Linked DNA regions of Cricetulus griseus. The protein of the gene in region 2 purifies or fractionates together with the protein of the main gene of each other region. This does not show direct contact. Links are inferred from orthologs where the notes say so. Each region holds a gene or a part of one and is shown on either strand. Other genes may lie near its edges. The genes, in order: Prr5l and Rictor.

Evidence for each region.
Region 1: the proteins of Rictor (region 2) and Prr5l purify together in Homo sapiens (affinity purification with western blotting; 3 studies listed by BioGRID and IntAct, with this or other methods). This does not show direct contact. The link is inferred for Cricetulus griseus from reciprocal best matches to the Homo sapiens genes RICTOR and PRR5L.

Annotation. Positions count from the first base shown.
Region 1 is NC_048599.1:75,854,671-75,863,620, forward strand, and holds part of Prr5l (proline-rich protein 5-like), read left to right. Parts: intron 1-5,833; 5' UTR 5,834-5,950; coding exon 5,951-6,114; intron 6,115-7,273; coding exon 7,274-7,354; intron 7,355-8,950. UniProt on the Homo sapiens protein: Associates with the mTORC2 complex that regulates cellular processes including survival and organization of the cytoskeleton.
Region 2 is NC_048595.1:340,512,846-340,521,795, forward strand, and holds part of Rictor (rapamycin-insensitive companion of mTOR), read left to right. Parts: intron 1-759; coding exon 760-852; intron 853-1,230; coding exon 1,231-1,337; intron 1,338-1,682; coding exon 1,683-1,912; intron 1,913-4,223; coding exon 4,224-5,232; intron 5,233-5,508; coding exon 5,509-5,580; intron 5,581-7,308; coding exon 7,309-7,486; intron 7,487-8,455; coding exon 8,456-8,540; intron 8,541-8,950. UniProt on the Homo sapiens protein: Component of the mechanistic target of rapamycin complex 2 (mTORC2), which transduces signals from growth factors to pathways involved in proliferation, cytoskeletal organization, lipogenesis and anabolic output.

The DNA.
Region 1 (8,950 bases), on a different chromosome or scaffold from region 2:
GAAGAAGAAAGAATCGCCCACCCTTGATAAAATATTGTGGCTATTAAAAGTGAAGTAAAGGCCAGAGAGTTGTTCCAGTCAGAAAGCGCTTGCCACACAAGATAAAGACTTGAGTTTGCGCCCCAGAAGTCATGTAGAAAAGCCAGGTGTGCTGGTGTGTGCTTGTAATTCCTGTGTTGGGAAGGCAGATCCCTGGGGCTCACTGGCCAACCAGTCTAGCTGAATGAACCAAGTCTAGGCCAGTGAAAGACTGTCTCTTTGAATGAAAAGGAAGATGGTGTGTAAGCTGCTAAGAGAGAAAAGCCATCAGCAGCTATGAAGTCTGTGAGCCACAATAATGACTCGTGGCAGGGTAGGCCCAAGAGTTATCGAACCCATGGCATGAATGTTGTGGGAATAACAAACTACTTTCTGATTGTATTTAAGGTGTAATCCACAGTATCAAACATACGCCTACTACTATAAATCTGGCCCCAAATCCAAGGCTGGGGAACTGTTGGGCTCCAAGTGTAAAACTACCTGTTTTTCCTGAACCGACGTAATATCCAGCTGCCTTCTAGACACATATCTTTAGCCATAGATTAGTGAACCTCAGTTCTCATCATAGAAGCATTTTGTGCAGTAGATAGTGTTAATACAGGGACCCACAATTGATCAACGTGTAGAGAATAGTTGTCTGTGGGGTGATCATCCACAAATGGGAACCTGTATCACATCCTGTCTCCATAAGGCTCAGGGACAATTGCTAAAGAGGAGAGTGGGAAGAGTGCAAGAGACAGAAAATTGAAGACTAAAGTGAAACAGTATTTCTTAGACATGATAGGACCCCTGCACTCATGAACTCATAGCAGCTGTGGCTGCCTGCACAAGGTCAAACCAGTCAGCATGCTAGCATGGAGCGGGGTCTGGGGGCGGGGGGGGAGCATAGGCACCATCCCCAGCTGACGAGCTTTTGGAAGCTTCTTGGGGAAGGAGAGTCAATTTCATTTTAAAATCAAGGTGGACGGTTCCTGAGGAGGAGTGACACCTGATGGTGACTTCAAGCCTCCATAGGCGATACTCTTAACAGGTGTTCACACACGGACATGTAGGCACAGACACAAAGTTAAGTAAATTCAAAACTCTTCGGTTGCACAGGCCACATATTAAGTGTTTAGTGGCTCTATATGGCCATGGGTGACATCATGGATAGCATCAGTTTGTATACTGTCAGCTTTCAGGTAGCCTTTCACTTCTTGTTTGCAGACAGCACGAATGTTTACTGTCTTTTTTATATAGGAGCAAATATGCCATTGCCCAGAAAGTGGGAGCATGGCTTTCTGAGGCAGTGTTGTATATTACTCAAGCTGCTGGCAGCTCTCTGTCATGATTGAAATGTGTGCACAGTTTCCAAGTGTGAATCAGAATGAGAACATTTTGAAATATTTAAGAAAAAAAGACAAAACCAATCACCTGGGCTGGTACATTATGGGGCCAGGCTTAAATATAGAACCTTCTTGACCAGCTCTGGGTTACTTACAGCCCTCCAGTCCTGGCTGGGTGAGTCACTCTGCCTCCCTTTCTTCATTAAGGGTAGAATCCCTGCTCTGCCTGCTTCGTGTGGTTGGGTGACAATATTTGTATGTGTGTTTGTTTTCTTGTTTATAGAAAAGAGTCTCTGGTCACCCAGGCTGCCACTGAACTCCCTATGCACTTCTGACCTCCTGTCTCCATCTCTGCAGTGCTTAGATTACAGACATGTACCATCACACAGGTTGATACAGTGCTAGTTCATGCAACATGGGCACTCCTCTGACAGACCTGCATCCCCAGCCTGGGGTTGGGTGAGATTTAGAAGCAGGGGATGTATGAGTTAGGGCAGTGAAGCCTCAGTACCTAAAGCTGTGTGTGAGTCACCAAAGGCCGAAGAAACAAGAGTCAATTTCTGTGACAGTGTCAGGGTCCTGGCTGGAGGCAATGTTTCAGATTCTGGGGAAGCTGTTTTCCCACTGCTGTGGGGGCTGGGCAATCTTGACACAATACCAAACAATGTTCTTTTATTGATTTGGTCAGTCCTGTGTCACACTTGCCACTGGCCAGGCACTGTTGAAGGCAAATGCTTCACAAATGCTTCCAGTACCCCAAGGATTCACTGTTGGTGTACCCCTTTCCCAGGGAGAAAAATCAAGCTTCAAAGGTCAAGTACCTTGTCCAAGGTCACACAGTGGGTGATGGTGACTGTCTCTCTGACTGGCACAGCCTGCATTTCCTTGTGGTGTCCTTTCTCTTCCTTTGTTCCTTCTGTCCCGATCCTGTGTGGCCGTGGAGTTGATTTTGGTAGATCTCTTCTCTCAGAGGTTGAGATTTAGGTTTTGATATGAAGGCGGGTGATTGCCATTTCAAACTCAGTAGCTTTGATTCTGGGATCCTGTCTCAGTTTAGTAGTGTGGAAGGTGGAGATGGGCTGGAAAGGCGGGCCAACCTTGACACGTCAGTGACTTGCCTCTAGCTAGCTGTATGCCCTCAGGTTGGTTACTTCTCTAACTTCAGATGGCATTTTGTGAGGGCTGAATAAGTCACCTTAGTGACAGGGCCCAGTATCCTATCAGAGAGCTTGTCCATGCTTCATTCATTTTTAACTCTACCTTTGTCTTGAGCAGTGAGTGAGCTAAGGCTTATGGGTTCAGAGTGACCCAATCTCCTGTCTGCCTTCAAGGTCTTCCTACAGTGGCCTCCTGAAGCTGCAGAACTCAGGCCTAGAATTGGGGAATGGAAGTTGTAAGCTGTGTTGGCTTAGTCCTGTGTTGGAGATTTTAGATAAATATGTTTGCTCATTTGCTCTACATTTGTTGGTTCTAAATGACTGCACTCCTAGGACCTGTCTGTCTTGTCACTTCTGACTTGTCATATGTGGGTCAGGACAAGTCAGTGTTTGACGGGCCAGGGCCTTAGCAGGTGTATACAGGGTGTGCCAACCTTACTTCAGGCCCATGTCAACACGTCCTATAGCTTACTCCCTCGGTCTCCATGTGGCTGCTGGGCTCTGTGACAAGCAGGGTTGGTGTGGACCACATACTTCCTTCATCTTTTCAGCATTTGAAGAAGACAAAGTTTGGGGGGCTGTAAACAAATCAGAGGGAACTCCTTGCTGTGTGTGTCCTTGACTTGGGGTGTGGGGACTATGGTCATTGATAATCCTTTGGGCTGAAAGTTACCCTTATTTATAATGGGGCAGGCCATGCTGCTGGAGCTGTGCCATGGCCAAGACTGCCTTGGGTGCTGTGCAGGGTGCTCAGATAGCTTGGAATGAGATCCGGGTGCTGTAGCTGAGACATGAGAGGGAGGAGCCACCTTAGATACTCTGGAATCTCAGCTCCCAGGAGAAGTGGCATGTGTGCAACCCATGACAACGTGTCCTGTGCAGTCTTCTGCTTCCTCAAGCTAGTGCCCCAGAGTGGGCAGCAGCTTCATTGTCTTTGGTTTGAGACCCTTACACAGTGAGTTAATATCCGGGAATCCCAGTGAGTTGCATTTCACAAGCCTCCCAAAGCAGGGCCCAGGGAGGCATCTTGTCTAAGTAAAAGGACCTTTGCTGCCAAGTAAAAACTCCAGCCAGCCAGTATTATTATTCTTAGGGTTCCATGGTTTTATTTCCCCTTCCTCTCATCACTGGTGTGCATAGTTCCTTCCAGATTTTGGGGTAATTGGGAACCTGTTGAAACCCTCTCAGGAACATAACAGGCTTCTGCAACAGTTATTGGTCAACTTTGATAACTGTTGACTTTCTCAGTGTGCAGGGTTTCCAGGCAAAGACTGTTTAAGAACATGGCCCACACAATTCCTACCCTTAAGGAGAGCAGTTACAGAGCTACAAAGGGGGACTAGCCATCCTTCTTGTGGCCCTTGGACTCTTGAATTCGGTGTCAGTAGGCCCATTGCCTACACAAAGCCATCAGCACCTCCATGCCTTCCTGAAGAGTTGCATTGTCATGGTGCTGGTTGTGTTGTCCCTCCCTGTCCGCCAATGCTGCAGCCAAGGCTGTGGGACTTCCCTTGCCAACCTGCAGGCTAACTCTTGTGCACTCATGGATGGAATCTTACTTTTCTTTCTTAGTTAGTATCTGGGACTTATCTGAGTTAACTTGACCAGAAGTAACAGTTAAAAACAAACAAACAAAAACAAAGGCACTCCCTAAGTGAAATCTACTCAACTGTTTAAGAGAAAGTGCCTTTGGCTGTTTACAGCAATATTCCAGTCTGCTCTAGTGGCTGCAATAATGGGTCCAAAAGAGAAGAGCATGGAGGGAACTAGCTAGCCCTGAGGCTAGTTCCTGAGGCTAGAATGGGTGCTCTACCATTCTGTTGGGCATGTCAGCTGATCTCATTTTATCCCTCCCAGTCCTGTGAGGTTGGTCCTTTAGCACCTGAGAACACTGCGCTCACAGTGTTTGAAGTGGTACAACTTGGGACCTGTGTTAGTTCATGAACCCCAGAATGAAAGCTCATTGAAAAGCCATTGGTTCCCACCAGAGCTACAAATCGTCTTGTGTTTTGCTACAAGGAACTGAACATTGACCCCAAAGAGCTTAAGGCATGCACACATGCTAAGCAAGTGTTCTACGTCTGAGTTACATTCCCAGCACTCTTTACTTAAGACAAATGTTTATTTTCTCTCTCTCTCTCTCTCTCTCTCTCTCTCTCTCTCTCTCTCTCTCTCTCTCTCTCTCTCTCTCGTGTGTGTGTGTGTGTGTGTGTGTGTGTGTGTGTGTGTGTGTGTGTGTGTGTGTGTAGCATACTTGGTGGAAGTCCAAGGACAATTTGTGGAAGTTGGCTCTCCTTTTATCATGTGGGTCTTAGGGATTGAATTCCAGGTTGTCATACTTGGTGGCAGATACCTTTACCTGCTGATCCATCTTGCTGACACTTTTTATAATTTTTTACTTTTTATTTTGAGGTGGGGGTCTAATTAAATTATTCAGGTTGACCTTAACAAACTCTGTAGCCCAGGAATGCTTTTGATTTCAGATTCTTTTGCTTTAGCCTTCTGAGTTGCTGAAATTACAAGTCTGCACACTAGCCCTGCTCAGGAACAAGATTATAAGACTCAACCTGACTGAATTAGTTGGATCTAGAAATGCACAAAGCCCAAGGAAGATCATCTGGTAAAGGAGAACAAGAATTGGCTTAAAAGCCTGGAAAGAGACCTGGGGTGGGAGAGATGGGACAGTCCCACGGCTGTCATTTTATCATTGCCCAGTACCTCAGTGACTGGAGCTTATAGGCTCAATATGTATTTATTGAATGAACAGGCATAGGAATTGTTAGTCATCTTTACCATAGAGTGGGAATCTCTGGAAGGCAGGGCCTGGGCCTTGGCGATTTGGGGTGCTTGACATGTTACAATGGCTGTTATACAACAAACAGTAAATATATCCTGATGGACTGCATAACACATGGCAGGTAGGAAAGGGAGGGCAAGATGTGCCTGAGTGAAGAAACAGTCACGACTTGAGAAATACTGAACAACACGTAGTGACTGATGGAACAGGGGGTGGAAGGAAAAGGAGCTTTTACATTTCACTTAAGGCATTCACAAAGGCTATTCTTCTGTTACGGTTTAGTGTGTATCTCAGTCATAGCATGCTGGCCCATGTTCTAAGTCCTGGGTCCATGCCTAATACACACACACACACACACACACACACACACACACACACACACACACACGAGACAGGAGAGCTTCGGTGGCAATAGAGGCTCTTGCAGTGTCATTGATTTTAGGATCATTTAGCTAGAGAGTCTAGCCAACATCCTTTCGTTACATGTTTTCAGTAGAGGCTGCCTGTCATTTCAGGTGTTGGCTCAGAGGGGGCTTTTAAGAGAACCCAGAAGCAGCGTTGGGAGAAGCCTTTTCTGTGAGTAGCCAGAGACGTCTGGTCCTGAAGACACAGCTCAATCCTCACCTGGACTTATGACCCGAGGCCTTGCTCCCCTCCTGCCCATTGAGTTCCACAAGATGGGCTCCTTCCGCCGTCCTAGACCACGATTTATGAGCTCCCCTGTGCTCAGCGAGCTGCCCCGCTTCCAGGCTGCACGGCAGGCTCTGCAGCTGAGTTCCAACTCTGCCTGGAACAGGTAAGGGCCTGAGGGTCCAGCACCATCAGGGAGGGCTTTGGGGTAATCTGGGGGTGAGCCGAACATCTGCTGCCTCAGAGAGCATTACTCATGAAGTCTGATCATGGTGCAGATGATAAATGGGGCAAGTTCCCCTGTTTTCATAGAGAAGGTAGCTCACTGGGAGTTCTAGCCTATCAGGGTGCATTTTGCCAGCCTGGGATCATTGACTTAGAATTTATAGTTCCAGTTTATGCCGCTTAACACCCTACACTGGGTGAGTATCTAAGGGTGGGGTCTTTCAGATGACCTTATATCACCTGTTTCCCCTTTAGGAAGCTTAGGTGTGTTTCTGTGCAAAGCTCAATGAATGGTGTACGTCACATTCTCTTTCTCCTCATCCACTGGTGCTTGGGAGAGGAGATGTAGCTTTGGGAGGTGTCCAGCAGAGCTTGTGGACCATGCCCGGAGCAGATCAGCCCATCAGTACTGCCTTGGAAGTCTGTGGGCCAAAGGTTTCCAAAGCTGTGTTGGCCTCTGGATAAATGAGTATTACTGAATTCTCTGTGCTTTTTCAGTGACAGGCCATCAGGCACACTCAGCTGATGCAGTTCAGCAGGGCTGCCTGGAATGTTCTGGCATTCTGAGGATCACTGTCCTTTGTAAAATTCCTCAGCACAGACAAGATTATAATCAGCTCTTCTGCTGCTGCTGCTGTGGTCCTTTAAGAGCCCAATTTTATGACAGTATACTTCCCTCCCTGGGGTGAAACAAAGGGACAAGGAAAGCCCATGGAAAATTCTATCTTAAAGGCGATAGTTTCAGTCTCTGTCTGAGAAGATGGTGACTTCCCAGTAGTAAGCAGTCAGGGTCAACTCCTGCTGGCAATGAATGCTATCTGGATGCTTGCAGGGCCACAGTGCTGGCAGTTCTCAGAGAGCTGATCTATTGCCTACCTCCATGTGAGCAAGGGGAAGAAGCCCCTGTGACCTGCAAGTGTCCTGGAACTCCCTTTGGATCCTTTGCCCCAGTCTTCTCAGTACTTCTGGGACAGAAGAAGTGGCTGCGAGTATCCCTTAGGGCTTCCCAGCTCTTCCATGACCTCCCCTGGGAGCAGTTTGAAAAAAATGGCCCCTGGAGGCAGATCACCTAACTGGCATGTGTTTCTTTCTCTTTGCAGTGTGCAGACAGCTGTGATCAACGTTTTCAAAGGGGGTGGCTTGCAGAGCAATGAGCTATATGCACTGAACGAGAACATCAGGTACTTACTTGGCTGGCCAAAACCAGTGCTGGTATTTCATTGGGAGGCTTCAGGTCCTCCCCACCTCCCACCCCTACCACCTTGCTTTGTACTTGCTGCTAAATTGTTGTTGTGTGTGTCGTATTGAGACCTTTACCATCTAGACTTCTCATTCTGATATGATGCCTATGCTCATGTGTATTATGCACTTTGTGCTGGGGGTGCAGGTTGATAGATGGTGCTAATTCTGTAAACTGTATTAGGCAATACAGAATTCTGAACACTGTATTAGGCAATATGACTAAGTGTTTGGAGCCAGATTATTTGAGAGTTGTATTTGTTAATAAAGACTTAGTAATAAATATGTACTGCCTTGATGGCCAGGTGCTGGAGCAGACATATGTGGTCCTGCTGTCCTGTTTTTTTTTTTTTTTTTTTTTTTTTTTGGTAGCCTACACTGGCCTTGAACCAACTATATAACTGAGCATGGCCTTGAACTCCTGATCCTTCTGTCTCCACCTCCTGGAGTTCTGGGATAAAAGTATGTACTACCATCTGTGGTTTCTAAGATGCTGGGGAGGGAGCCCAGGGCCTCTTGTGTAGCAGGTAAGCATTCTGTCAACTGAGCCACATCCCAACCTCACTGCCCTGGAGTGGACAGTCAGATGGGAAGATGATTATTAGTCAACCAGTCATGAGCTGTGTGATGACCGAGCTGATATGATGAAAGCATGGTAATATGACTTGGTTTTGCCAAGAGTCCAGGGACAATGGAGGTGATGCTTATGCCACGATCAGAGATTCATTAGGGGAGGAGGGTTCCAGTGGGTAGAATCAGCAGGAGCACAGGTCTCTGTGCTTGCAGTGAAAGGAAGCCTAAGTACACAGGGTGCTGGTGGTGGGATGGTGGCATAGTTGGGCTTGCGTCTTGGTGAAATGAGAGAGGAAACAGGGCTCAGAGCCCCAGGCTCAGCTAAGGCCAGGGAGTTGAATTAGCTAGCTAGCCTTTTAATTCCTCTCTGGGTACCTAAAGGGAGAACATCTAGGCTAAAGACCCAGCCCTGCAGTGGCCCAACAACAAACAAACAAGGCCATTGTTCAAGCCTTGTTTACATTGAATCAAGGTCAGCTGGGTGTTTAAGAGCTCTGTTTTCATTCAAGCCTTTACAGCACATAAGCGAGTGGTTGTGTTACATTTCTACCTCCTATGTACTTGAATTTCTTGTCACAATTACATAAATGTGGAAAGAGACAAAAGAGACCATCTAGCCCAAGGCCTCATTTTACAGGGAAGAAAGTGAGGTCCCAAGAAGGTATGGTGTCAGGGGCAAAGCTGGGTCACCAGCCTCAGACTTGCAAGAAAGAGCCCAGCTTACTCCAAGCCCCGAGTTCCTGCCCCTCCCCACAGGTTCTTTAGTCTCCAGTGGCAATATAAATAAATAATCCAGTGGCGCAGGAATGTGCTAATTGTTTCTCAAGTCAGGACACAGATCCTGACATTGTACTTCAAAGATCTTTGTGGGCAGCTAGGAAGGTGGGAGCTAACCCTGATGTCACCTGCCCCACAGCCCAGAGAAGCAAGCAAGGTGCCAAGGGGCCCTCTGAATGGGGAGACCG
Region 2 (8,950 bases):
AACTAAACTGCCTTCTTTCTTGAACCAGAGGTTGAGCTGAGCCTTAATACAGATTAGTTAGTGACTGTAGCACAAATAATAACAACCCAGAGACAGATATTGGGGTTAAAGGTGAAGATCAGAAAAACAAAGCGGCCAGCCACTAGAGAGTTCTCACTTCTACCAAATGCTCAGACTGAAGGGGGATCCACTGAACCTCAAATTGCATCTCCAGACTACACTGCTCTCCACCAAGCCTCAGAATCCTAGACTGCTTTGCTCTCCTCAACATGGCTGGAGACTAATTGTCATATGAGACCCTTTGCTTCTTCCTTATATAGTATGTCAATAGTGTTGGGACTAAAGGCATGAGCTCTGTTACTGTTTTTGACTGATTGATTCACTCTCGTGTAGCCCTGGTGGCCTTGAACTCACAGAGATTTATCTGCCTCTTTTTCCTGAGTCCTGGGATTAAGGATGTGAGCCACCACTGCCCAGCTTCTATGTCTGTCCAGTGTGGGTGGCTTTGCATTCTGATCCTTCAAACAAGTTTTATTAAAGCATAAACAGTATATCACCACAAATGACAAGTCTAGAATGTGAACTCATAGTACCTGTGCTCTATGTGGCTTCTAAATAAGCTGTATGTAAAGTCACTCTTGGAATTCTATATGCAGAAATGACGAAAGCAAACCTTTGGTGGACTTGTGCCAAAGTATGAGGAAATGTTTTAGAAGGATAATATATTGTTATTTACATGATACTTCTTTTTTTCTTCAGAATGTTATCACAGAACTCTGTCATAATGTTCGCACTCCAGACTTGGATAAATGGGAAGAAATTAAAAAGCTGAAAGCTGCTCTTTGGGCCTTGGTTTGTAATAAACATTTCTGATCTTTGCAGTGATTATGGGTTCTGTTTTTTAGGCTCCTCCCACTAATATTAAATAAACTAAAATTACTTTACCTTGAACATGTTCTTAGATTAATATTTAAAGACCAGATTGTTCCTACCAATTTAAAGGTTTTTCTTATGCTGAAGAAATAGATGATTAAGCAATTAGTGTTTTTGCCTCTGTTCTCCTAAGACAAACAGTATGTTTGCTTACTCCTAGCACACCTCATTTAAGATTTTGTTTTTACCTTGCATAGACTTTTCTCTCTTTTATAGTTGGCTTTAAATGTCTTTCTTGGTGGCTTTTAAAGTTTCTTCAAAATATTAGTCATAAATATTTGATATTATTTCTTTTAGGGAAATATTGGCTCATCGAATTGGGGGCTTAATTTGCTACAGGAAGAAAATGTGATTCCAGATATACTAAAACTTGCGAAACAGTGTGAGGTTCTTTCCATCAGAGGGTATGTTACGTACCTAAGTCTTTCTAGTGAATATATTCTTATTCACAAATAGATGTAAGACAAAGTATTTCAAGATTCATATTGTCAATTTAAATATACTTTGCTAGGATCCTGCTGTACTGCCTTTATTTTGTTTTAATTATTTTTATTAGGGAGACTTACATGGTTTTCATTCATTCCCCCACTAGATTTAATGTGCTGTTTTCCACAATCAAACAATTTTTAAATGTCTTCTTAAGGAAAATGTAGATATCCATGTAGCCTACTATTTTATGGTTATTTAAAAATCTCACCTTGGAATTATAAACTTTTTACTATGTTTTTTTTTTCCCTCTACCCCTATAGGACCTGTGTATATGTTCTTGGGCTCATAGCTAAAACCAAGCAAGGCTGTGATATTCTAAAATGTCACAGCTGGGATTCTGTGAGGCACAATCGCAAGCATCTGTGGCCAGTGGTTCCAGATGATGTGGAACAGCTCTGCAATGAGCTTTCTTCTGTACCCAGCACCCTCAGTTTGAACTCCGAGTCGACCAGCTCTAGACATAACAGTGAAAGTGAGTCTGCACCATCAAGTGAGTATTGTGATGGATTCACATGAATTAATCTGTTGGTGATTTTACTTGTGAGTTCAAAGCTTAAATGTATTGTTACATTCTAAGTTCACATTTCTCTTTTCTGCTTAGTTTGTAGACTATTAGGAGATAGTCTTGTGTGACCTGGAACTTGCTAAATAGACAAGGATGATTTTCTTCCTGCTTCTGTCTAATGAGTGCTGGGAGTACAGGCATGTAGCCACACTCAGGTAGAAGTGTACTTTTTCAAAGAGAATGGCTTGATGATGATATCCTATTAAAGGCTGCTGTGCTTTTTAAATAGCTTGTGGGAATTATGTGCTCAGAGATGATAATAAGTCATGCACCAGAGACACTACTTCTCTTTGTTCTCAGACCAAACAAACCTAGCCAGAATTTGCCTCATGTACTCAATACTTTCCTTCTTTTTCTTAAGTATACGTAAATGAAGTAGAATGCATGAGCTAAGAGAGTCATATCTTCATTAGATATTACATGGTGTGGGAACCACAAGGGTAGCTCAGTAGTAGAGCGCTTTTCTGTTTTAGGTGAATCTCTGGTTTTATGCCCCAGAACTGGAGGAGAAAAGGAAATTGGTGGAAGTGTTAAAAGATAGGATGTCAGAAATAAACGATGTATGAAACGGATGTTTCAAGAGTTGAGTGCTATGGGTTGCACAGAATTTAAGGAATGCTTCTTAGATTTAAGATGATGATAAATACAGGCCAGGCATAGTGGCGCACATCTTTAATCCCAGCACTTGGTGGGCAGAGGCAGGTGGATCCCCATGAGTTCTATGCCAGTGTGGTCTACAGAGTAAGGACAGCCAGGGCTGTTATACAGAGAAAACCTGTCTCAAGAAATGCAAAGGAAGGAAAAAACACAAAAAGAAAAGGTGATAACAAACTAGGCCTCGTTGCCCATGACTTTCATTCTAGCTCTTCAGGAGGCTCATGCATTAGACTCTTGAGGCCTGTCTAGTCTGAAGGATAAGGCCAAGGCTAAGTGTTTTCACCAGTACCCATGAGGAAAGGAAGGAATGGAGAGGGGTTGGGTCTGCAAGTATATCTTTATAATCCTAGTATGTAAGCCTAAGGCAAGAAGACTGTTGAAAGTTTAAGACTAGTCAGGGATACATTCTGAACTTGACGTCAGCTTGGGCAGCAGTGTAAAATCATTTCTCAAAAAATAAAGATAATCTAACATATATTGGACCATATTTCACCAAGTCCATGATGCCTTGAATTATAAGAAGTACTAATATTTATATTCCACCACAAAAAGAGGAAAAAAATCTTGTCCCTTACACCACTTCATACTCTTTATTACATGGTAAAACTTGGTTTTTGAGAGATTGCACATGAAGATATATCTTAGCGTTCACAGACATAGAAAGCTAGTGTAATATGCAAGTTCATTTAGGGTTTTACTTTTGCCTTTTTTGAAAATATATTTAAAGTTCTTAATAATTACTCAGTAGAACAGTTACAAATTGAATAAATCTTATTGGTACCGTTAGACACCTGGGATAACTGAGGTATTACAGTTAGACACTAAGTTTGGTGAGTGCACATGGACAGTAAACATAATTGGTTTAAATATGAAGCTTATATGTATGTCTTTGTTAACCATTAGTATGGTTATCCTTCCATTTCTGTATGAGATCCCATACTTCCACCTCTGTATCCAAATCCGCTGATACTTAAATCCTTTGACTTATATACAAATCTCCGAAATAATTTGTATCTTTGGATCATTTAATACCTAATCTAGACACTCAATAGTGAATTTTATTCTTAAAGGATAATAGCAAGAAAAATATATGTACTTATTTAATTTAAGCACCTTTCTGTGAGTATTTTTGGTCTCTGGTTAGTTGAACTCATACGTACACAATTCATTGACTTGGAAGGCTGCAGTGTATTTAAAGTTTAGGAATCTGTTTCTAAGAAGAATGTGTCCTGCCACTGTGATGGGAAGAAGAAACCATGCCATTCTGAACTCACAGAATGAGCATGCTCAAGGGATGGATGTCTCCTGCTTTCTCTTTAATTTTAGCCAGAATATTTGGGAAAAAAAAAACTTTAATATATGCTGTACTAGGATAAGTCTGTAGTTATTCTTTAGAAATGACAGATACTCACATGACAACAATCTTGTATTTTATTCATATTCTAACTCTGATCTTTAGGGGACATTTTTATTTCTTAATGTTCCCCCCAGATGATTTGCTTAAAAGGTGGGATAGCGCTGAGCATTGTGATGAACTCTTCATAGTTGCATGCTTTGACAGCTAGCTCTCCATTTACAGGCATGTTCATACTGGAGGATGACCGGTTCGGCAGCAGCTCCACCAGTACATTTTTCCTTGACATCAATGAAGATGCAGAGCCAGCATTTTATGACCGACCTGGACCCATAAAGGATAAAAATTCATTTCCTTTTTTTGCCTCTAGCAAACTTGTAAAGAATCGTATCTTAAATTCACTTACTTTGCCTAATAAAAAACACCGCAGTAGCAGTGATCCAAAAGGAGGAAAACTGTCATCTGAAAATAAGACAAGCAACCGGCGAATCAGAACACTTACAGAGCCCAGTGTTGACTTTAATCACAGTGACGACTTTACACCCATCTCCACAGCACAGAAAACATTGCAGCTTGAAACTTCTTTTGTTGGGAATAAGCACCTTGAAGACACTGGCAGCACTCCAAGTATTGGAGAGAATGACTTGAAATTCCCCAAGAGTTTTGGTGCAGAGAATCACAGAGAAAACACAAGCCGGGAGAGGTTGGTTGTAGAAACCTCAACAAGCTCACATATGAAGATCCGCAGCCAAAGCTTTAACACAGACACTACAACAAGTGGCATAAGTTCAATGAGCTCAAGTCCCTCTCGAGAGACAGTTGGTGTAGACCCTACAACTATGGACACAGATTGTGGAAGTATGAGTACTGTGGTAAGTACTAAAACTGTTAAGACAAGCCACTATTTGACACCACAGTCTAACCATCTGTCTCTCTCCAAATCGAACTCAGTGTCCCTGGTGCCACCAGGTTCTTCTCATACACTTCCTAGAAGAGCACAGTCCCTTAAAGCGCCCTCCATTGCAACAATAAAAAGTCTAGCAGATTGCAACTTTAGCTACACAAGTTCCAGAGATGCCTTTGGCTATGCTACATTGAAAAGATTACAGCAGCAAAGAATGCACCCATCCTTATCACACTCCGAAGCTTTGGCATCCCCAGCAAAAGACGTACTGTTTACTGATACCATCACCATGAAGGCCAACAGTTTTGAGTCAAGACTGACTCCAAGCAGGTGAGCAATACGTGCTTAGAAATAAGTGAAAGTGGTCGAATTTTAATAGATAGAAATGTAAGACATTAGTCAGCTTGAGCACCACAGAGGCCAAGTCTCAGAACTGATCCATTTACCACAGTAGGCTGTAAGCTCCTTGTTACCTGATATGATTTGAAATGGATTCTTGCAGCTGCGAGGGGGGAAAATAAACTCCATTAGGCCCTGAAAATAAACTTGTTTTGCAAGGTTACACAAGTCACAAGCTTTTTTTTATCTATTTCTCGCTTCTGCAAGGATCGATTTTAAAAAGAAGCATGTCGGGGGAATCAGGAGCTTAAGACCTACAATAACAAACAACCTTTTCAGGTAGGTCAATTTAAAGCTCCAAAAGTTGACCTCTTAATATTTTTTAAAATAACTGAAGATGTCAGTTAATTATTTTAATTTGTTTTAAGTACATGTCATTATTAAATAGAAACCTAATAAACACAAAATGAATTCCTGGCTCCTCAATATTAAGCAAAAGTTTCTATTTATATATTAAATATTCTATATTTAGATCAAGCTATTAATAGTATGAAGTTTAGGGTTTTTTTTAATGTTTTTGTTGTTAGACTTCTCATAGTTGAATTATATTCATTTAAATGATTTATATCCCTTTAAATAGATAACTAGGTGTCAAGTAGTTAGACCAGTATCTGGTAAAAAATAAACACTAGTTTGCAGGATATTCTCACTATCAATATAATAGTTATTTTTATTTATATCATCCATCAGTCTCTCACATCTGATTTTTAGTAGCATTTTTTTATAAAGAAGGTGCTGGTAACTGATAGTAAATTTCGTCCCCTCTTAAAAAATGGTACAGTAACGGTTGGTATAACTAGAAGTCACTATCTCTGGCATCTTCGTGAATCCATAATAGAACCACACGCCTCTCAGCAAGCCGTGGATAAAGAGCTCCAGCCAAGAAACCGAGCTTATGAGTTGTCTGGTGGAGACTAGGCTAAATGAGTGCTTGTAAACTCTTAAAATGTTACTTTCTAAGCAGAAACAAACTAACGTCTTGAAGGTTTTCTATAAAAACCCAATAAATAAAACGGTTTAAAATGGAGCTGCTGATGATTGAAATAGAATTGGAAAGTGAAATACCCTCATAATCCCTCTGACTCAAGTAGTCCTTAGAGAGTTTTATAGAATCAAAGAAACTAAACCATACCATTTGAAAAACATTGACTTCTTTCATACAATTCATAAATTTCAGATATGAATACTGTTGGAAATTAGGAATTGTTTTTGCTACTATAACCTTAGTAGCTACTATTTAAAGCACATTCCTTTTGTGTGTTTATGTGAAGTAATCCTTTGATTTCCATTTTACACTTTATAAGACTTGGTTTTCCAGTCAGTAATGTGAGACTTTGAATGGTGCTTCATATATTTGAGAAGGCATATACAGAGTGAACTGTGTCTATTGCATGAATAGTGATCTGTATGTCAGAAGTGTATCTGATAGAGATGTCCACATACCATGGTTAGGGAATCATTTGTGAAGAGTACCCTATAAAGAAAGACTAGAGTTCTGTGAGATAGCCCTTGTAATATTTACAAATGATACCCTTGTAATATTTACTATGGTATGTGTACCTTCTATGCTACACAAATCTTATGCGATAAAGCACTTTTCATAATAAATTACCTGGTGTTAATAGATATACCTTTAGCAGTATAGCAAGTCCAGCAACCTCTGCTGACTGCACAGGTAGTCTTTGAGCTGTACTTGTCTATAGGTTAGTTTCCTTTATTGCTTCTGCATGCTGATGTTGCTCTCCTTACCCACCTTCTCATCTTCACCTGGGAGAACATAGCAGTTGTTCTTTTGGTGACATTTAACACTACTGGCAACCTGTGTATTGGCCAATAGCAGCTAATGTTTAAGTGCTTATGTGTTCCCAGCAGACTTAAGATGGTACTGCTTCATGTTTGACCAGCTACTTTGATAGTGGTATAAGATTAGGGTTTTTTTTTTTTGTTAATATACTTAATAGTACAAATCAAGAAGCTAATTTAAGGTTTTTTTTTGTGATGTTATAGGTTTATGAAAGCTTTAAGTTACGCATCATTAGATAAAGAAGATTTATTAAGTCCTATTAATCAAAATACCCTGCAGCGATCCTCCTCAGTTAGGTCCATGGTATCCAGTGCTACATATGGAGGTTCTGATGACTACATTGGACTTGCCCTTCCAGTGGACATCAATGATATATTCCAGGTAACATTCAGAGTACTACTGTTTTCCTACGAGCTGGCTTCCTGCTGGTTTTGTTTTGCTTTTTATTGTTCTGTAACTGCTTATTAGAACTTTAGTTTATAGTGGATACATTTACTATGGGAAAGAAAGATAAAGGTTTTTAAGAATCCCACGTTCTTTACGCTTACTCGTGTCTTGTGAGTAAGAATCTTGTTTAGTCTCCAGTCTCTGAAATGCTAACCTTGTCTGACTGTAATAAATTAGCATCTTGTTTGATTTATGTGTAGTCTATAGAAGTTTAGTAAATTCCTAACAGTCTTTTAGATTCATGTAACTTACTAATTTTTAGTCATTGATCCCTTTTTACACTCAGAACGGCCATGCTCCAGTAAGATAATACACAATTTCTAGTGGGTAGCCTTGAACTCACAGAGATTCATCTGCCTCTGTCTCCTGAATCCTGAGATTAAAGGTATGTGCCACCACTGCCTGGCCTCTAGCTGTGGCTGGCTAGCTTTACACTTTGGTTTTTAGGCAAGCTTTATTAGATCATAAACACAGTATCACCACAATAGGAGTGCTCATTGAATTTATAGCTCAGCTGGCAGCCAGCAAGCCCCAGCAGTCATTCTTTTTCCACCCTTCACAGCTTAGTTTCTCAAGCACATGGCCACACCCAGCATGTTCTGTCGATGAAGGACATTGAAACTTCTCATGCTTTTACAGCAAGCACTCTTCACCCACTGAACCATCCCTAGGGCCTAGATATTTTATATAAACACTTAACTATTTGAATACCCATTTAATTCATCAAGAGCATGATGGTTCAGAGACAGTTATTTGATTATGTTTTGGTAAACTTTAGTAAATTTTGCCTTATAGATTTATGCTACAATAATTCTATTTGTTGCATTTCCCTGAATTCCCTTCATGTTCCTAAGATGAATTTCTTTGTATGGTGAAGCTGACCATGCTCTGTATGCATTTTAGATAAAGGATATTCCTTATTTTCAATCAAAGCACGTGCCTCCACCAGATGACCGAGGTGCAAGAATGTTTTCCCACGATTCAGGAGGTAATGTGTTCTCTTGGTTCTCATGCGACTCCTTACCTTGAAAATGAATTTCTCTTTTTAGTGAGGTGACAACAAAAATTAGGCTTACTAAACTTTGGGGTTAAAGTAAAACTAAACCAAAATAACTCAGTCAACTAAAAATTAAAACACAGTTGTTTTTCTAGTGAGAATCCCCAATCTCTCAAGTTGATAAAACCCAGAATAGTTCTTTCTTAAAGTGCAAGAGGAATGTTAAAACTAGTTTCATGGGTCAGAGGCATATTTTTTTTTTTTTTTTTGCAATGAAGGAAATGGGGATTTGCTTATTTTTTACACATGTTATTCTGTGCTATGAACTGCTACGTTTTAGTGAATGTGTGCATGTGAACCATTTTAATAGTTTTATAATCTTGTTTCAACATATACCTCTC